Linked DNA regions of Sus scrofa. Each later gene encodes a partner of the first gene's protein in a complex. Links are inferred from orthologs where the notes say so. Each region holds a gene or a part of one and is shown in the gene's direction. Other genes may lie near its edges.

Region 1 (10,730 bases):
ATTTTTTCCCTTAAAAGAGTGTGTTGCAATAAGCCATTTGTTTTCTCCAATCTCCATCCACTTGTAACCAGTGGCCCACATTTTTGGAAGGGTTAGTTTGAATCAGGCGAGCCATCCACAGTCCTAGCCTAGTCTTCTCTTTGTGGAGCATCACACAGTAGAACCTGCCCCGCTGACTCTCTAGCACAGAACTCAAAATAAGAAGCTGTCAAGTGTGTGGAGCCATTGCTTTTAACTCGTGTAATGTTGGCCGGTCATTGAACAGGAAAAGTGCGCACCCCTTCCAACCGTCTTCGCTCTCTTGCTTTTAGATGGACGACGAGGACGACGATGACGATGTAGGAGATCATGATGAAGAGCACCCTGGGATGGAGGTGGTGCTGCATGAGGACAAGAAGTACTACCCCACAGCCGAGGAGGTGTACGGCCCCGAAGTGGAGACCATAGTTCAGGAGGAGGACACGCAGCCTCTCACCGGTGAGTCTGGAGGCGCTGGCTGGGGAGCGCTGAATCCGAAACCAGAAAACTGTCTTGAAAGCTCAGTGAATGAACTGATTAGTTTCTCTTTCAGGTACTATGTCTAGATTGAGATTCAATTAACCCCATTTTGATATTCAGTAAAACTCATAGCTTATTACTTAGCAAATAAGAGTTACAAAGAGAGAGAGCGTTCTTTCTTTTAATCTAATATCCGTTTAGGTGCTTGAAGACAGTCTTTAAGTTCTCTTCTGGTCTGATATCCAAACAATACCAACTCCTTTAACTAGTCTTCACAATGCTTATTTTCCACTTTACTAATTTTCACTGAGCTTCTGGAAAGTGGTTGCATTTTTAAATGCAAGGAGTGCTTTTGAACTGATATCGAGCTCATCCTCTATCTAGTCCCTCTCTCTTCCTCTCACAAAATAAAGTCCAAACACCTCACTCCACAGTTCAAGACCCTTCACTGTCTCGTGCCAAATAGCATTCCCAGGACTTTCTCAATCTCAGTGACCCATGAGAATAGCATAAATTGATGTCGCATATCGTATATTCTGAAAGCTCAGTCTGTTGGAATAGGGCTCTGTGTTTTTATGTTTTATGCCTACCTGCACATCACTACTTTTTTTTTCTCCTAGAACCCATTATTAAGCCAGTGAAAACCAAGAAATTCACTCTGATGGAGCAGACACTACCTGTCACAGTGTATGAAATGGAGTAAGTTATTAAGGTCTTGCAGCATCTCTGCACAAACAGTATGGGTTCATTTTTTTTGTGGAGGTAGGAGGTGGTTTGTGGTTGAAGTAGCCAGTGAATTATTGTGAAAGCAGAACTCTCTCCCTACAATTTGCCAGCATTTTCTTTCTTTCTTTCTTCCTTTTTTTTTTGTCTTTTACTAGGGCTGCACCCTCAGCATATGGAGGTTCCCAGGCTAGGGGTCTAATCGGAGCTACAGCTGCCGGCCTACACCACAGCCACAACCACGCCAGATTCGAGCCTCGTCTGCGACCTACACCATAGCTCATGGTAACACCAGATCCTTAGCCCACTGAGCGAGGCCAGGGATTGAACCTGCAGTCTCATGGTTCCTAGTCGGATTTGTTTCCACTGCGCCACAACAGGAACTCACCCTTACTTGCTTTTTAAATGTCATTATTTTCCTATTGAAAGCTCCATGACATTTCAAGATTATGTCACCTCACAAATGAGTCTGTTCCATTCCCAAAGCCTGAACTGTGTAGGGGTAGAAATTCATGTCTGCCTTGGAACATTCTCCAGTTGGGCTGAAAATTGTTCCTGGCCAAAAATACCTAGAACATCTCTGCACCGCTCCTTTGTTTGAAAACCGTTGCCAGAGTCCCTTTTCTCTCTTCCTTTCTCCTTTCAGTTTCTTGGCAGATCTGATGGATAACTCGGAGCTCATCAGAAACGTGACGCTCTGTGGCCATCTCCACCATGGCAAGGTGAGGGAACTTGGAACAGGGTTGCTCTTTGTTTCTGCTGAGTGTTTCAGCCTAAGAGTCACTAATTGGGGTCTGAGGCCATAAGGCTGGACCTCCTGACTCTGCAGGGCCTCCCTGGAGCCTATTGTGAAACCGAGCCGTGAAATCCCAGCTTTTCCTGAGCAGCAGATGGAAAGCTAAGCCACTTGCATGCCTGAGCCTTGTGTCTACATCTGGACAGCAGAGGGGAAATTGGGCCTTACTTTATTTTATAAGTTTTCATTTCCTGGAGGACGCTTGCCCAAGAAAGATTTCATCTTTCATTTGAAAATAATCCCGTGGCTTCTTTATTTCTTTGTTGTCCCATAATCTCCCCTGCTCTCCTCCTCCTCTCCTTATCCCTGAATTGTGTGGTGTATTGGTAACTGGGGGAGGGTGGAGTCGATTTTCCTCTGTGGCCAGCAGAACATAACTTTCTTTTCCCTTGCAGACGTGTTTTGTAGATTGTTTAATAGAGCAGACTCACCCGGAAATCAGAAAGCGCTATGACCAAGATGTAAGTAGAAATTCTGTGGAGGGTTTGGGATGAACCATTCAGAACACAGGGGGGTGTCTCTCCTTCTCCTTCCTTCTAACCTCCCACTCTCATTATAAGTAATGATGCCTATAATATGCTGCTTCATAATTGTAATTTCTATTAATAGCCCTTAAGAAAATAATTTCCATTTTCTCAGGAACATAGAGAATATTAACCTGCAGTATTTTTGGATGATCTGTTCTGCACTTGAGATCCCTCCTGTGTTCTGATATATCCTGACTTTTATAGCCTATTCTTTCCTGTCATAGTATTAATAGCCTACTCTATAAATATAATACAGTTGGACCTTGTTGTTTCCATGATAAATTTAAATGCCTGTGAATGAGGCCCAGTGTGGCTGCAAGTCTCAGTGCAATAACTGTTCAGTCTCCGCCAGATTGACTGTTTTGATGTGCGGGTGTTCCGTGAAGGCTAGAGGTGTCTTCCTTTACCACTGTGCAGAATTCAATGCATTTGATGTGATTTAGCTCTCCAGCCACCTCGGTCCTTAGTGACTTCCCTGACTCCCCCCATAAAACCATCCAGGAGCATTTTCCACCTGGGAGGGCCCTAGTCTCATTGAACTCTCTGTAGCGCACCCTCTTGCCTTCCATCTGTTCTCCTCCTGAGCCAGAGGCCCCCAGGTTAGGAGTGGGTGAGGGGAATGATTGATGGTTTGTGGGTGGCAAGAATCTGAATTCAGGTGGTAACTACATTTTTTTTTTTTTTTCTTTTTTCAGCTGTGTTACACAGACATCCTCTTCACAGAGCAAGAGGTAAGTGTGCCTTTGGGAATCTGATTGTTGCCACACCAGACCCAGCAGTGGTGGTTTTGTAGGGAAAGTTTTTATGATAACGTTTTGGCCCATACAGCACCCGTCCCCCATAACTCCCATCCCTCAACCTCTTTATCTCCCTGCTTCGTCCCATGATCTCTAACTTGAAAGAGAGCTGGGTAGGCAAACTGTAGGATAAAAGGAGAGACCCTCCTGTCCTTACCTGGATTTAATTTAGCCTAATGGGGCAGATGCCAAGAGGTGGTGTGTACATTTATCTGTAAGTTATACAGAAGCCAAACATGATTTTTAAAATGACATCATCCTTAAAATCTATAGGATGACTCCATCCATATGTCGCTCTTCCTAGGGGCAGCTTCCCTTAGAGAAGAGGTTCATCTCTCTTTGTTCTTCTCTTTCTCTGTAAAGGAGTGCACGTATATCTCTGTCTTTTCCATTCCATCTGGTTAGTCTTTCCATCTAGAGGGGATCTTTATCCCTCCCCTCTAACACCTTCTGTTTCCTCTTCTCCTTTTTTTTTTTTTTTTTTTTTTGTGTGTGTGTGTGTGTGTGTGTGTCTTTTTAGGGCTGCTTCCATGGCATATAGAGGGTCCCAGGCTAGGGGTTGAATTGGAACTGTAGCCACTGGCCTACACCACAGCCACAGCAACACAGGATCCGAGCTGCGTCTGCGACCTACACCAGAGCTCACGGCAGCCCTAGAGCCTTAACCCCCTGAGTAAGACCAGGGATCAAACCTGTGTCCTCACAGATGCTAGTCAGATTTGTTTCTGCTGAGCCACAATGGGAACTCCCCTCCTTTATTTCTGTCTCTCTTAAATGACCACATGGAAAGCACAAATGTATAAGTTTGACTAACCAAAGGAACTCTAAACGGTGCTGGCATATGATAAGCAATCAACAAATATTAGCTATTTAAAAAATATATGTGTGTATATATTTGACTGGAGTTGGGCTTTTTTTTGTTGGGTTTTAGCTGTGCCTGTGGCATGTAGAAGTTCCCAGGCCAGGGATTGAACCCACACCACAGCAGTGACATAAGCCATAGCAGTGACAATGCCAGATCCTTTAACCCACTGTGACGGGCTGGGGAATTGAACTTGCCCCTCCACTGCTGCAATCAGATTCTTAAGCCACTGTACCACAGCAGCAACTCCTACTATAACTTTCGCTATATTTAAAAAAAAAAAAGGAGTTCCTGTTGCGGCGCAGTGGTTAACAAATCCGACTAGGAACCATGAGATTGCAGGTTCGATCCCTGCCCTTGTGCAGTGGGGTAATGATCCGGCATTGCCGTGAGTTGTGGTGTAGGTCGCAGACGTGGCTCGGATCCTGCATTGCTGTGGCTCTGGCATAGGCTGGCGGCTACAGCTCCGATTCAACCCCTACCTAGCCTGGGAACCTCCATATGCCGAGGGAGCAGCCCAAGAAATGGCAAAAAGACCAAAAAAAAAAACCCAAAAAACAAAAAAAAACCTAGGAATTCCCTCATGGCCTAGCAGGTTAAGGATCAGTGCTATTACAGCTCTGGCTTGGGTTTGATCTCTTGTGTGGTCTGGGAACTTCCACATGCCACAGGCACAGCCAAAAAAAAAGGAACCTAAAATAACCCAGATAGTTTCTTTTGATTTATATGATGTTTAATTATTTTTATTTATAGTGTACGAGGAAGATAAGATTTTAGGACTGTGGATTCTCCTATTATGGTTTACCACTGCTTTGCTTGCTTGTTCTTTTATTTTTACTTTTTTGTATTTGAACCAACTCTCCCCCATCCTGGGAAATGCTGTTAAGACCAAGATAGTTTGTCTTCAAGGTCATTCTGATTAGAGGACTAGGTTACAAAATCACACACACTACAAGGAGAGACAGTGGTGTAACTTACTAGCAACTGGGAAGCCCCCAAAGCAGAGTAAACCCCTCCTGCATAGGATGAGCTCTTGATCATCCTGTCTCTCTCTCTGTGACTTTCAGAGGGGTGTTGGCATCAAAAGTACTCCTGTGACAGTGGTCTTGCCAGATACCAAAGGAAAATCCTATCTCTTCAATATCATGGACACTCCAGGTAGGATGTTCCTGACCTTTTACTGTCAAAACCTTGACTTATTTTTTTCTTGTGCTCCTACTATTTCTAGAACAGAAAAGAGCATTATGTCTTTCTTTTTACATTCTGTTCATTAAGATGATAATTTTCATTTTTAACGGTTTCCTTTGCTTCTAACCAGTTAATTAGCAAGCACTGTGCTCCAGGTCTTCTGTCTTATTCCTCTCTTGACTCTGCTCTAGACTATTTAAATTTGGGGGAATCTTATTCATATATTAGTTTCAGCCTGTCAGTCACTGTGCTAGACATTGGGGTGACAAAGATGAGTCAGACATGGTCCCAGCCTCAGGCCATCTCAGTCTTTTGATGGAGACCACGGGTACTTACCAGTGGCTGGGGATGTACAGGTTGCCATGGAGCAGCATATCTTGTCCCTTGGTTGCCTTTTTCTCTTGATTCATTTTTATTTTTTGCTTTTTAGGGCCACACCCATGGCATATGGAGGTTCCCAGGCTAGGGGGCCACAGCAGTGCAGGATCTGAGCCTCATCTGTGACCTACACCACAACTCACCGCAATGCCAGATCCCCAACCCACTGAGTGAGGCCAGGGGTCAAACCCGCATCCTCATGGGTACAAGCAGGTTCTTTCTGCTGCGCCACAATGGGAATTCTGGAAAATCTGGGTTTTGGCAGATTGGCCTTTTGCCCCATCAGGTGCCCTATGCCCTCCTACTTCTTAGCCCCTGACCCCCACCCATACCCAGCAGCAGCACTTTGCCAGGAACCAGCTCCATGCTAAAGCCCTTCCTTTGCCTTTTTTTCTGCCTCCAGATTGTCTTCTGTCCCACAGAATTCGACTCACTGATGGTTAGACTAAGCTAGGGTGTGAGTGGAATGCATTATGCCCTGCTTGGTAAAACATTTCCTCCTTTTTATGTTTGGGGGCCTCCTGTATAAAAGCACAATCCAAGGATGGGACACTAACGTGGAAATTTTTTTTGGCTATGCCCATGGCATCCAGAAATTCCTGGGCCAAGGATTGAACACAAGCCACAGCAGTGACAATGCCAGATCCTTAACCCACTAGGCCACCAGGGAACTCCTAATGTGGAATTTTATACACTGCAGGGAGCTGTGGGGAGAAGGGAACGGGGCTCTTTGTGGGTTCACATGCTTTGCAGTGCCCTGCAGACCACATACAAGTTGATTGTGCCTCAGCCTGTATCCACACAAGTGGCAACTTACCTGGTATTTGCTTTTCAGGGCATGTGAATTTTTCTGATGAAGTCACAGCTGGCTTGCGCATCTCAGATGGAGTGGTCCTGTTCATTGATGCTGCCGAGGGCGTGAGTCTGCTTCTGTCCTTTGGGACCCCTCTCTCCCTGTTATATTTGCCCTACACACTGCCCAGAGCTCTGAGTGAGCTGAGCCAGGAGCCAGAGAACGTGAGCGTCTCTGAGATTGAGGCTCATACTTGCTTTAAAATTAGGGCAGCAAATAAAGGTGTAAATCAGTTCTCAGTGAGTCCCTCACCCCCTGCCCAGAGAAGCTCAAGATGATAGGACTCGTTGTCATTTAAGAAACACAGGAGGAGTTCCTGTCGTGGTGCAATGGTTAACAAATCCGACTAGAAGCCATGAGGTTGCAGGTTTGATCCCTGGCCTGCTCAGTGGGTTAAGGATCCAGCGTTGCCGTGAGCTGTGGTATAAGTCACAGACGTGGCTCAGATCTGGCGTTGCTGTGGTTGTGGTGTAGGCTGGTGGCTACAGCTCCAATTAGACCCCTAGCCTGGGAACCTCCATATGCCGAGGGATCAGCCCAAGAAATGGCGAAAAGACCAAAAAAAAAAAAAAAAAAAAAAAAGAAACACAGGAATGACAAATGTAAATAATAGGGAGGGAGGAGAGTTTATTCCTGTAAGTGGATTTTATTCTATTTTGTTTTATTTTACTTTTTTGCTTTTTAGGGGCACAACTGCAGCATATGGAAGTAACCAGGCTAGGGGTCAAATGAGAGCTGCAGCTGCCAGCCTATGCCACAGCCACAGCAATTAGGGATTCAAGCTGTATTTGCAACCTACACCACAGCTCACAGCAACACCAGATCCTGAACCCACTGAGCGAGGCCAGGGATCAAACCAGTGTCCTCATAGATACTAGTCAGGCTTGTTTCCACTGAGCCACAACAGGAGCTCCGGATTTTAAATGTCAGTGAAGTTGTCTAAACTAAGAAGAGATTGGAGTTAAAAGGGCCAGAGTGTTTTTTATATTTCTAAATAGAAAGATTAGGTATGTGGAGTTCCCACTGTGGCCCTGCTCAGTGGGTTAAGGGTCCACTGTTGCCCTGAGCTGTGTGTGGTGCAGGTAGAAGATGAGGATCGGACCCCATGTCTGGTGGTTGCAGCTCCAAGTCAACCCCTAGCCTGGGAACTTCCATATGCCTTGCCTCTCCTGTGGCCCTTAAAAAAAAAAAAAAAAAAAAAAAAAAAGAATAGCTAATTTGGCTAACCTCATTCATGTTGTCATTGGTGAGATAGCCAGCAGAGGGAGCCAGCGTTGCCCTTTTAAAAAATTAACTTCATTTTGGGGTAATTTCGAACTTATTGAAAAGTTGTAGTAATACTGAGAACGCACCTTCATTTGCTTTGTAATCATCTCTCTGTACATGCTTGTGTGCCCTCACACGTTTGTGTGTTTTCCATTGGACCAATTGAAAGTAATGTATTTCAGGATGTATTTCCTAACAGGGACATACACTTACCAAGATTTGGAAACTTAGTATTGGTCAATATTGTCGTATAGGCCTTTTCTGGAGACCGTAATCAGTCTCTCTGATTGTTCCAGTAATGTCCTTTATAGAGGTTTTTTTTCCCCTAACCCAACCCAACATTCAATTTTCATGTCTCCATAGTCTCTCTCTCTCTCTCTTTTTTTTTTTTTTTTTGTCTTTTCAGGGCTGCACCCATGGCATATGGAGGTTCCCAGGCTAGGGGTTGAATCGGAGCTGTAGCCACCGTCCTACACCACAGCCACAGCAATGTGGGATCTGAGCCGCGTCTGCAACCTGCACGTCTGCTCATGGTAACGCTGGATCCTTAACCCACTGAGCGAGGCCAGGGATTGAACCCGAAACCTCATGGATCCTAGTCGGGTTCATTACCACTGAGCCATGATGGAACTCCTACGTTGTGTTTTTACTAGTCCGTCACGTCAGAAGGTCCGTGATGTCCCCATATCCCATTACTGGTGATGTCAACTTTGATGACTTGGCTAGGGTGGGCCTGTCAGGTTTCTCCAGTGCGAAGTTACTATTTTATTTTACCCTTTCTAATAATTTGTGGGCAGGTACCTTGAGTCAGTATAAACATGCTATTCCTTATCAAAGTTTACTTCTTTTGTCATCCATTGGTCATTCCTAGCTTGTTTATATAATAGTTACAAATGGTGGTTTTTCTCTTATTATTTCTTCTGTATTTATTGGTCAGAATTTTGTTGTAAGGAAGAGCTTTCCATTCTTCTCCACTTGATTATTTATTAGTAATATAGATTCATGTATTTTTATTGTACACAGTGAGTTTTAATCCTTTAAGATCCTTATATCTTTTATATTTTTTCTTTTGTTTTGTTTTTCTTTTTTGGCCGCCCCACAGCATAGGGAGCTCTTGGGCCAGAGATTAGATCTGAGCCATAGTTGTGACCCCCACTGCAGCTGTGGCAACACCTGATCCTTTAACTCACTGTGCCAGGCCGGGAATTGAACCTGTGTCCTTGCGCTATAGGGACACCACCAATCCCGCTGGCTAGTGAGAACTCCTTCAGGCTGACTTCTTTATCCTTTTGACGTGCCCCATCTTCTTGTAGGCACAAAAAGATGCCCTAAACTCATCTTGTACTTTCCCCGCCCCAGTCTAGGAGTCAGCTGCTTCTCCAAGGAGCTCTGGCTCCTTCTACTGAGGACTGGTATTTGGAAACAAAGATTAGGGCATATTTATTGCTACTGGGGCATATTGCTTCGAGGACTTTTCACTGAACACAGGTAACATTCACCCCTATGTATCTGTAACTGTTTCTAGGCACATATATTAAAAACCATTAGTTCACCGAAAAAGAAGAAAAAAACACGAGTTGGAGTTCCCGTCGTGGCACAGTGGTTAACGAATTCAACTAGGAACCATGAGGTTGCGGGTTTGATACCGGGCCTTGCTCAGTGGGTTAAGGATCCAGCGTTGCCATGAGCTGTGGTGTAGGTTGCAGACGCGGCTCGGATCCTGCGTTGCTGTGGCTCTGGCGTAGGCCAGTGGCTACAGCTCCGCTTAGACCCCTAGCCTGGGAACCTCCATATGCTGTGGGAGCGGCCCAAGAAATAGCAAAAAAAAAAAAAAAACCACGAGTTCATCCTAACGCCCAGCATTCCATTTCAGCACCACTGCGGCTTCCTAAGCCTTCTCTAGCACACAGAGACCTGACTCCCAACATTTCTTCATTTCTCAATCCTGCAAGGTGCCCTCTTAAAATTCCTGAGTCTGAAATTCCCATTGTGGCTCAGTGGGTTAAGAACCCGACTGGCATCCATGAGGATATGAGTTCTGTCCTTGGCCTCACGTGTTGGGTTAAGGATCTAGTGTTGCCGTGAGCTGCAGTGCATGACATAGCTCGGATCCATCGTTGCTGTGACTGTGGTGTAGGCCGGCAGCTGCAGCTCCAATTCAACCCCTATCCTGGGAATCTCCATATGCTGCAGGTGCGGCCCTAAAAAGACAAAAGACAAAAAATTCCTGCATCTGCTGTTGGACAGGATACCCTCTTCCTCCCCCCAACAATCTGTTTCCCCAGATCTTCTTTTCCACGTCCTTCATATTTTAAAGCAGTGCCTTCTTTGGCTCTGCTTTGGACTTTTCTGCCCTCTTTGCTCCGATCATCACCTTCTGAACCTCATGTCTCTCAGGTGATGCTGAACACAGAGCGGCTGATCAAGCACGCCGTGCAGGAGAGGCTGGCGGTCACCGTGTGCATCAACAAGATTGACCGGCTAATCCTGGAGCTGAAGCTGCCTCCCACTGACGCGTATTACAAGCTGCGTCACATCGTAGATGAGGTCAATGGATTGATAAGGTAGAGGAATCCTGGGCATGGACCTTGAACACCTCTGGGGGCAACTCTGATTTCTTGGCATACGTGGATGTGCTTACTGGACTTAGCTAGGGGCACATTCTGTGGCTTTGCAGGGATTGACTCCATTCCTTAACCAGATGTGCAGCTCACCTCACGTCTTCAGTATAGCCCTGTGCTCAGTACCCTGAGCCCTAGAATCAGTCTCATCTTCACCCGTACCAACCATGTAAGGTTCCCTGAGCTTGTAGGGCCTCAGGTCCACATCTGTAAAAAGGGAA
Region 2 (10,758 bases), on another chromosome or scaffold:
AGACGTGGCTTGGATCTGGTGTTGCTGTGGCTGTGGCGTAGGCCAGTAGCTATAGCTCTGATTTGACCCCTAGGCTGGGAACTTTCGTATGCCACGGGTGCGGCCCTAAAAAAAAATTAAGTAAAAAAAATAAAGATGGTGGCTGTTTTAAAGCAGCTGAGCAATCCCCTGTACCCCTGGATGGACCAGACTGGGGCTGGAAACAGCAGGGTCTCCAGCCTACCCATCCATCCCCTCATAAAGGCTGACTTGGAGGGCAAACCAGAATCATACTCAGACTGAAGGCAGCCTGCTAGGCCCCCTAAGCAGCCTCAGGGTTTGGCCGCAGTTTGCACATCCAAGTGACATGGGCCAGTGAGACCAGACTGAGGGCCAGCCATCTGACACCAGCACCCCAGGAGGGTGCTCTCAAACCCCTTGTCTGTCGGCTTATTGTTGTTAAACCGCCATACAGTTGTTATCACCCTGAAAGATTCCTCTGGACCAAAGGCTGAATGTCGATAGATGGATATAAATATGGAACATTAAGTTTTTCTCTTTTTTTTTGCTTTTTAAGGCCGCAGCTGTGGCATATGGATGTTCCCAGGCTAGGGGTCAAATCGGGGCTGCAGCTGCCAGCCTACGCCACAGCAAGACCAAATCCAAGCCGCATCTGAGATCTACACCACAGCTTTACTGCAACGCTGGATCCTTAACCCAGTGAGCAAGGCCAGGAATGGAAATCCCATTCTCACGGACACTATGGTGGGTTCTTAACCCACTAAGTCACAAAGGAACTCCAAAACATTAAGTTTTTCTGATGAAAAAAAAAAAAAAAACCTGACGTAGGCTTATTTTAGAAACCTTTAAAAAAAAAAAAAAAAAGATTTGAAATTGATGTTCTTGTCTGACTCCAAACAGCTAAGGGGTGAAGAACCAGGTTTGCTAGGAATGTGGTGACTGGCAGGGGATGGGGGTCCTGAGAAGGGGAAGAGGGTGCATTTAGCAGTTCCTGGGTGGGGCAGGTCGGGATCTGTGCTGACGGGGAAGGAGGCACTAGGGGGTTGAGGACCCTCCCTCTCGGACTGCTCACCGAAACACTGGGAGTACAGCTCCCTGCGCACAGGGCAGATGCCGGTCTCCCGGGCCTGGCGCTGCTGCAGCTTCAGGTCCAACTGCTCCTGCAGGTGCACCACGTCCATCCTGGTGCTGGGGGTGCTGGACACCTGCTGGATCCATAGCTGTGTGTCCTCCACCCATTCCCTGTGGCACAGACAGAGCCGGGCTGAGTGAACCCCATCCACCAGAGAGGGTCACTGGGAGGGGAGCAGAGGTGGGCCTTTGTGTTCTCTGCTTGAGAGGAGCGAGGGGCAGCTCTGTCCCTGACCCACCAGAATCCTCCATCTCCTCCTTTTCCTTAAGGAGTGTGTGGCTCCAAAGCCACACCCACTGTGCAACCTCCAAGGGGCCCCTCCCCTGGGGCTGGGCAGTCTTCATTCTTCCAGGACCCTCTGTGAAGTCATCACCCATGTTCCAGATCTTAACCACTGACCATGGTGAGGACAGATCTATGGCGGTTGTTACTGAATGGAAGGCCCAGAGGAAATTCCCACTGACTTGACGGGGTAGGAGACACAGGGGACCATAGACCTGCGCCAGCCGGAAAGAGGTGAATGTATGTATTGCAGGCCATACCTCTATGGCCCCCCCATACTGACCAAGGATGAGCAGGTTGGGAGAAGGAAGACATTGTGATTTAGTTTGAGACATGTTAAGTTTGAGAAGTGTATTAGACATTTTCATGAAGGTAATGAGAACAGAGCAGAATATATGCGCATGGAGTTTAGGGGAGAGGACAGGGCTAGATCCAGCATATGGGCGCCATCAGCATTTAGAGCACTCTGAAAATGAGGAGATGTCTCCCCCCAACCCTCAGCATCTAGCCATCTGCAAGTTCTAGGAACTCTGGGATGCTAGGAAGAAATCCCAGCCAGAAACAGAGACAGGGTGCCTCCTCACACATTCCTAAGTTCTAGGATGCAAAAGTCTGGGCTTCCGCCCAGCCACTGCTTTTTTTTTAACCTTGGCGGCAGAATGGCATTCAAGATTTCTTCTGCCTGCTTTGTAGGATCTGGGACACAGGAAGTTGAGGGGAGCTTGGTCTTCGGTGGCTGTGGGACAGGACCTGAGGGTCCAGGCTGCTGGGGGCTGACTTTCAGTAGCCGAGCCTGAGAAGGAAGGACAAGGTGGGACAGGAGGTGATTTAGACACTCAGCTCCACACACTTTGGCAGGCTTTCACCGGGTCACTCGCATACCTCTCCCCCATTCTCAGATCACTCTTCCTCATTAGAAGTTATGTTTCAGAGCTGAAGGAGGCCATGAAGAATCTCTGGTCCCACCCCAACTCAATGCTTCTATCTCCTTGTGCAGATGTTGCTCAGGCCTTTACTTTCTTACCTTTAGAGATGGGGCCAGTCACTATCAGATCTATCCTTGTACACTACCTGGATAGGGCAGGGAGCCCCATCCATCTCTCTGTGACTTTTTTTCCCATCCTAAATCTGCCCTTAGGATCACCCAACATCTGGGCTTCTTGTACCGCTCTCCCACCCTCCTTGCCTGGTCCTAATTCCCTTTATTCCCAGTCACTGCACCCTCTGTCCCTTGGGACTCCCAATCCTCAAGGCAGGGATCTGTCATTCCCCGTGGGAGTTTCCGAGCTCCCCCATCCTGAGACTCCTCCTTACTTTGGGACTCCGTTTCTCCGTGTTGCGGCTCACCAATACCGGGGTATCATACTTGAGCAGAGAGTCGGCGGGGGGGATCATGGCGGCGGCGAGGGTAGCAGCACAGCAGCGACCCTCCTGTCAGGGCAGTGTTTGCCGTCGCCATGGAAACGTCCTTGACATCCTCATGGCCTGGGCGGGGCTTCGAGGCGGGGCGGGGCCAGCAGCTCGAGAGTTTCTTTCTGCTCAACCTTCGAGGAAAGTTCTCCTGCGTTTAGCTTGTCAAGCCTCCTGCTCACCGGGATCGCCTTAGCACTCTTGGAAGCAGGGGAAACTTGAGTTCTGGATCCCTTCGCTGCGTCCAGCTCACGGTTTGAGTAAGGCGCAGATCACTTTCGCTGATCCTGGATTTTGTCACCCGCAAATGGAATCATTTGACTCCTCAGTGAAGGCTGAGGAAGATTCCCAGAGGAAGGCATTTAAAGTTCCCAGGTTTTAAAAAGAGTTTGCCTTTAATGGAGAAATGGCGACGATTTGCCCGGCCGACGATTTGCCCGGGCTACGATCTGTGATTGCATTTCCTTCTCTTCCCCTTTCCTTCGTATTTCCAAACGTAAATGTCATCACAGTCTGCGCACAATTTTGCATCTTGCTTCTTCCATTTAACAAGTCAGACTTTTTTCCATTTGTCGTATAGTTTGTAAATACCATTGCAAATGGTGACATAATCTCTTTTCTACTGCTGGATGTGTAGTTTGTCCCCATGTTTAGTAACTAGTAATAACGCGTCAACAAACAACCTTGAGAGGAGCTTTTTCCCCCCAATTTGTTTTTGAAACCTAAAACTCCCGCCCCACAGAGTCGGGTCCCTAAGGCCCCGCCCACTCGGGATTCTGATCGCGTTATCCGCCGCGAGGGTTTCTGGGAGAGCGCGCACCCGGAAGCGGAAGTCCAGGACTCAAGTCCGTCATTTCCTTCACGGAGAGGAGCGCGACGGTCCTGTTTTTCCTTGGCTCAGCCGTTTCACAGCATGAAGGAGGTGAAGAGCGAGCGGGAGCGGGGAAGTCGGCGAAGGCACCGGGACGGGGACATGGTGGCGGCGGCGACGGTGGTGGTGAAGCAGGAGCGCCTCAGCCCGGAATCCGCGCCTCCTGTCCATCGCCGTCCGGACTCCTCCGGCGGTAGCCCTTCCCCGCTGGCCGGCGAGTCAGGCCGCCCCGGTCACCGCGGGAACCGAGCTCGAGGAGGTAGCCGGTAAGTGGGAAGCAGCCTGGGGTAGACCTGAGGTCGGGCTTTTTGAGAAAGGGGGACAGGGCTGGCACCAGGAGCACACCTTGAATGCTGAGCGCGGCAGCTTGAATTAATCCTAAGGCGATAGAAGTGACCGGTTGTGAGTGTGTTAACGTTTACTCTGATACCTGTTACTTGCGTTATACCTGGGCGTTAAACGCCTAATGCCTGATGGGCAAGTTCTTGCTCCTTCATCTCTGTGTGCTCAGCATTTCTCCGAGTATGGTCCAGCTGATGACAATGATAGTTTATGTTGAAATGAAAGATTTTTCCCACCTGCCTCCAAATGGGGTTATTTTTTCAGTTATCTGCCCCAAGAAGTTTTCATATCCTGAGCCTAGGTGATCTGTCTGATATTCTGGGGGGAAATTGTCTTTTGCGAACAATTTATTCATTCATTCGACATAGTTTTGTCGAGTACTTATTATGTGCTAAAGACCTCATAGGTTATAAAATAATGTGGAAAATAGCTATGTACAATTTTTTAAAATATAAATGTATATGTGGAATTTGAATCAAACTGTAAAATTATACACAGATAAAACTGAAATAAAGAAAATAATGGGAGTTCCCATTGTACCTCAGCAGTAACGAACTGGACTAGTATTCTTGAGGACTATGAGGATGTAGAATTCATCCCTGGCCTCGATCAGTGGGTTCAGGATCCAGCGTTGCCATAAGCTGCATTGTAGGTCGAAGATGCGGCTCTGATCCTGTGTTGCTATGGCTGTGGCGTAGGCCAGCAGCTGTGGCTCTGATTTGACCCCTAGCCTGGGAACTTCCATATGCTAAGGGTGTGGCCCTAAAAAGACAAAAAAAAAAAAAAAAAAAAAAAGGAAGAAAGAAAGAAAAAGAAAAGAAAATATGAGGCAGGCAGGCAGGCCGTCCTGGGTATTGGGGTGGAAAGAATGAGCATGATAGATGATCTCTACCCTGGTGAAACTGAGATGCTCTAGCCCTGAGACAGAATAACAAGGAAATAAAGAAAATAATTTGTTAGTAACAAGTACTAGGGATAGGTTAAGACAGTAATGTCATAGAGAGTGGAGAGAAGTGGTTCTCTGTGAAAAGTCTGCCACTTGACCTGAAACCTGATTGATAAAAATAATCCAGGCTTGTAAAGATCTAATCAGAGAAAACAAGCAGTGCAAAGATCCTGAAGTGGAATTAATTGTGTTCCTTCTAGAAAAGGAGGAGGGGAGGGGATCCGGTATAGTGAGGTGGGTAGGAATGCGGTGGGAGAGAGAAGAGGTAGAGCCTGGAGCCAGAGGACTTGCTGATTGATTGTGAGCGTGTTGGGGAGGAGCATGGGGCCTCTTGGTGGTAAGGGGGAGAAAAAAAAAGAATCTAGGATGACTTCTAGGTTTTTGGCCTGAGGAACGGATGGATAGTGGTATCAGTTACCCTGATGGCAAAGATAGGAAAGTTGAGAGGTGGGAATTTAGCCTTCTCTTATCGAAGTGAGAAGTTTCAATTGGCAGCTACATATGTGGGAGACATTCAGGGCTGAAAAAGTGAAGCTCCTGACTCCTTTAGTGTGATCAGCAGAAGCCTTCACAAATGTGATGTTTGTGTTAGTAGATAGGCCTGATACTTGAAGCTAATTTGTATGAGCGAATGAAAATTGAGATGAAATTTATGTGTACCATTCTCTGAACAGGTCCCCACCGAGAAAGAAAAATAAGTCCTCGGGGAGAAGAAGCAAGTCTCCCCGGAGTAGGAGAAGCCGAAGTCCTCACCACTCAACAGTCAAAGTGAAGCAGGTAAGCGGATTGAGATGTTTTCATACCGGCTCCATCAGAGCTGGAGTGTTGTGTGTGTGTTCACCTCTGCCTGCGGTGGGCTTTTCTAGAAACTGGCTTTTTGGGGTTTTTTTGTCTGCCTGTTTACTTCGTTAAACTAAACCTTTTATTTTGAGATAACTGTTGATTCACCTGCAGTTGTAAGAAAATAATACAGAAGTGGTTGTTTCTCCCATTGGAAGCATTTTACATAATTATAGAACTCTATTCCAACCAGAAAAAATTTTTAAGGGAAAAGTGGTTTTTGTTTTTAATTAAAGTATAGTTTAATGATAGTTCCCTCTGGTGTACAGTAGGTCCTTGTTGATTATCTATTCACAACCAAAATATTGACATCAATACAGTTAACATGCAAAACCTTTCCATCACCACAAGATCCCTCATATAGTCCTTTTGTAGTCATATTCATTTCCTTCGCACCCTTAGCCCTCAATTCCTGGCAGCTTCTCATCTCGTTTCCATTTTGTAATTTTGTCATTTCACAAATATTATGTAAATGAAATCATACAGTATGCAGTCTTATGGGATTGGCTTTTTTCCATTCTGCAAAATTCTTTGCAGATGCATTTAGATTATTGCATCTCTGTAGTTCATTCTTTTTATTGCCGAATGATATTCACTGGTATGGGTTTAACCATTTTCCCATTAAGGAACATCTGGGTTGTTCACAGTTTTTGGCTCTTAGACATAAGGCTGCTGTGTAAACATTTGTGTACAGGTTTTTGTGTGAACATGAGTTTTTATTTCTCTGGGATGAATGCCTGGGGGTGCAGTTGCTGTATGGTATGATAGTTCCATGTTTAATTTTTTTAAGAAATTGCCACACTGTTTTCCAGAGTGCTGTGTTAATTTTCTAGGTCTTCCATAACAAAATACCACAAACTGGCTGCCTTAAACAACAAAAACTGTATTTTTTCCACAGTTTTAGAGGCTAGAAGTCACAGACCAAAGTTTCAGCTGTTTGGTTTCTCCTGAGGCCTCTCTCCTTGGCTTGCAGCTAGTCACTGTCCCAGCTGTGTTCTCACATAGCCTTTCCTCAGTGGCTCATGTCCCTGGCTCATGTCTCTTCCTATTAACCACAACAGCCATGTTGGATTAGGGTGTCAACTCCTTTCAACTCAACCAGTTTTTTGTTTTTTTTTTTTTTAAATCTCACCTCCACAAAATTTGGTTACATTCTTAGATGGGGGGATTGGGACTTGAACATATAAATTTGGAGCGAGCACAACATAACAGTGGCTACACCATTTTACATTTCCACCTATAATGTGTGAGTGATCCAATTTCTCTGCATCCTCACCTGCATATGGTATTGGCACACGTTTTTGTTTTTTTTTTTTTTTCTTAGCCATTCTGATAGGTATGAAAGTGCTACTGTGATTTTTAGTTTGCATTTCCCTGAGGCTGATGGTGTTGACCAGCTTTTCATGTGCTTATTTGCCGTCTATATTTCCTCTCATGTGAAATGTCTCTTCATGTCTTCTGCCTGTTTTCTAGTTGGATTATTTGTTTTGTTTGTTTTTTTAAACTCTTGAGTTTTAAGAATTCTTTTTCATATTCTTCAATACTAGGTCTTTTGGGGTGAATGGTTTGCCAGTGTTTTCTTCCTGTCTGTGTCTTGTCTTTTCATTCTCTTAATAGGGTTTTTCTCTGAGTGAAAGTTTTCAGCTTAGGTGGAGTCCAGCTTATCCATTTTCCTTTTATAGATTATGCTTTTGGTGTCTAAGAAATTTTTCCCTGGCCCTCAATCCCAAAAGAATGGTTTTTTTCTTAATATTTGTGATTTAGGTCTGTGATCTATTTTGAGTTTGTTTTAATATAAGGTGAGAGCCTTAGATCAGATTTCATATTTTGGCCCATGAATGTCCACTTGCTTCAACACCATTTGTTGGAATTTAATTCCTTTAATTGCTTTTGCTTCTTTTGTCAAAAATCTGTTGGGCATGTGTGTGCCTATATTTCTGGGTTCTCTCTTCCATTGATCTGTCATTCTGCCAATACTGCAGTTTTGATTACTGCAGCTATATAATATGTTCTCAAATTGGATAGACTGATTCTTTCACTTTCTTCTTTTTAAAAATTGTTTTAGTGATTCTAGTTCCTTTGTATTTCCATATGAAATGGAATAGTCTTGTTCGTATCTATAAGATTGTGCTGGGATTTTGATTGGAATTATGTTAAAATTGTATTTGGGGGAGAATTGGCTTTTTATTTTATTTTTTAAATTTCTTTATTTTTTTGCTTTTTAGGGCCACACCCCCAGCATATGGAGGTTCCCAGGCTAGGCGTCTTATTGGAGCTACAGCTGCCGGCCTACACTGCAGTCACAGCAACAGATCTGAGCTGCGTCTGCAACTTACACCACAGCTCGCAGCAGTGCCAGATCCTTAACCCACTGATCGAGACCAGGGATCCAACCCGTAACCCCATGGTTCCTAGTCGGATTTGTTAACCACTGAGCCATGATAGGAACTCCTTTATTTTAGAGTTTACTCAGGATTTGCTACATAATTCAAACCTCCAAATTGGGAGGAGTTTCTTTCTCTATAGTCTATATACATTTAATTCCTTTCTTGTTGATGTAGGACTTCCAGCACTATATGGAATAAGAGTAGTAAGAGCAGACAGTCTTGCCTTACTCTCAGTCCTGAGGGGGAAACATTCAGTCTTCTTTTTAAAGAAACTCTGTGGGAGTTCCTCTGTGGTACAGCGGGTTAAAAGATCCAGTGTTGTCACTGCTGCGACTCAGGTCACTGTGTTGGTGCTGGTTCCTGGCCCTGGAAACTTGTATATCCCTAAGATGCAGCTAAAAAGTAATAGTAACTCTAAATTACAAAGTGCAAATAGAGACATTGGCATTTAGAAAATGGATTTTCCTATGAATTTGAGAGACTGTGGGCCAACTTTCTACTACCTGAAAGATTCAAAGCCAGGGAGTTCCCATCGTGGCTCAGCGGTTAAGGAATCTGACTAGCATCCACGAGGACACAGGTTTGATCCCTGGCCTCGCTCAGTGGGTTAAGGATCCAGCGTTGCTGTGAGCTGTGGTGTATGCGGGTGGCTGGAACTCTGATTAGACCCCTAGCCTGGGAACCTCCATATGCCATGGGTGTGGCCCTAAAAAGACCAAAAAAAAAGATTCAAAGCCAGATGGTCCTAATAGTCAGCTCTGTGAGTTGGTCAGGCATGGCCTTGGCTATTTCAGAATTCAGCCTCTGGAACCAGAGTATCCACATTGAACCTCTCAAACCACTTGTTAGAGGGTGGTGTGTGTGTGTATACAACTTGTCACTTCTTTGATTTAATGGATTTGACATGCTGCATTTTGTGGATCTAAGGTGTACAGTGTGTTACTATGATACATTTATATACTGCCACTGAAGCAATATTTATCATGTGTCATCATTATCATATAGTGTTATTGCATTACACACACTGTGCATTTTATCTCTGTGGTTTGCAAGTTTGTACCTTTTTAATTTTTTTTTTTTTGGCTGCACCCGAGGCTTATGGAAATTCCTGGGCCAGGAATCAAATCCAAGCTGCAGCTGTGGCAGTGCCAGATCCTTAACCCACTGCACTGGGTCAGGAATCAAAACTGCACCAACACAGAGACAACGCTGGATCCTCAGCCCAGTGTGCCACAGCGGGAACTCCACAAGTTTGTACCCTTAAATATCATCAGTCTTATCCTCTCACCCACCCACCTCCTGGTAATCACCATTTTGCTCCCTGGATTGTTTTACAATCCTGGGGCTTAGAGTATGGAACTGTTTTGATTATTATTATTTTGAAGTATCTCAGTTTGCTTATCTATGCTAACTTCTCTTCTGACCTCAGGTTATCTCTTAAGAAGCTGATTTTGTGGTATTAATCAGGTAGAAACTTGGAAATGCCTCTCAAGCCAAAGGCAGTTGAAATTCAGTAACTTTCACTTGGATTGTGGGGGGTACACATAGCCTCTGACCTAAGCATGACTTGTACTTACAGGTATTCTCTTCTGTACCACTCAGCCACCATTAAAAATTAAATTTATGGGGAGTTCCCGTGGTGGCTCAGTGGTAACAAACGCAACTAGTAGTCATGAGAATGTGGGTTGGATCCCTGGCCTCACTCAGTTGCTGTGGCGGTGGCATAGGCTGGTGGCTACAGCTCCAATTCGACCCCTAGCCTGGGAACTTCCATATGCTGTGGATGTGGCCCTAAGAAGACGGGAAAAAAAAGCTACATTTATCGATTGCATATTCATCGTGATAACACAAAAGTATGTAAAATAAAAAGTGAGAGTATGGTTACTCCTCTCATTAGCCCCAGAAACCACACCCCTCTCCCCAACCAAAAAAAAAATCACCTCACTCCCCAGAGGTAGCCATTTTAATAGTTTGATATTTATACTTCAGAGCTCTATCATACTTATGTTCTTTTCTTTTCCTTTATGTTTTGATGTGTCTCTCTCTGTATATTCTATGCAAAGTTTTTTTTGTTTTTGTTTGTTTGTTTTTTGCCTTTTAGGGTCACACCAGGGGCATATGGAAGTTCCCAGGCTAGACATTGAATTGGAGCTGCAGCTGCCAGCCTACGCCACAACCATAGCAACTTGGGATCCGAGCCACCACATCTGCAGCCTATACCACAGCTCATGGCAAAGTGGGATTCCCAACCCACTGAGCAAGCCCAGGCAGGATCAAAGCCGCATCCTCAAGGATACTAGTCGGATTCGTTTCTGCTGCCTATAATGGGAACTCCTGCAAAGATTTTAAATAATAATAACTATTTATATATTATCCTACTTGATTTATCAGTAATTGAGAATATATGTTGAAATCTTAGTTATTTAGTATTACCTGATTACGTGATTTGTCATATTCTTTCCATAGTATCTACTAATTTTGCCTGGTATACACTTTTTGAAAATACACTTATTTGAAATTTGAAAAAATTTCACTTTTTGAAAAACTT

What was found. Proteins that work in one complex are often made in the same cells at the same time.
Region 2: EFTUD2 (region 1) and SNIP1 share a complex: the UniProt entries of both Homo sapiens proteins name them as parts of the minor spliceosome. The link is inferred for Sus scrofa from reciprocal best matches to the Homo sapiens genes EFTUD2 and SNIP1.

The regions. Positions count from the first base shown.
Region 1 is NC_010454.4:18,485,443-18,496,172, forward strand, and holds part of EFTUD2 (116 kDa U5 small nuclear ribonucleoprotein component), read left to right. Parts: intron 1-311; coding exon 312-477; intron 478-1,118; coding exon 1,119-1,197; intron 1,198-1,867; coding exon 1,868-1,943; intron 1,944-2,412; coding exon 2,413-2,478; intron 2,479-3,239; coding exon 3,240-3,275; intron 3,276-5,270; coding exon 5,271-5,361; intron 5,362-6,604; coding exon 6,605-6,687; intron 6,688-10,285; coding exon 10,286-10,452; intron 10,453-10,730. UniProt on the Homo sapiens protein: Required for pre-mRNA splicing as component of the spliceosome, including pre-catalytic, catalytic and post-catalytic spliceosomal complexes. Component of the U5 snRNP and the U4/U6-U5 tri-snRNP complex, a building block of the spliceosome.
Region 2 is NC_010448.4:93,605,056-93,615,813, reverse strand, and holds the start of SNIP1 (smad nuclear-interacting protein 1), read left to right. Parts: upstream 1-3,644; 5' UTR 3,645-3,737; coding exon 3,738-3,961; intron 3,962-5,657; coding exon 5,658-5,760; intron 5,761-10,758. UniProt on the Homo sapiens protein: Required for pre-mRNA splicing as component of the spliceosome. As a component of the minor spliceosome, involved in the splicing of U12-type introns in pre-mRNAs. Down-regulates NF-kappa-B signaling by competing with RELA for CREBBP/EP300 binding.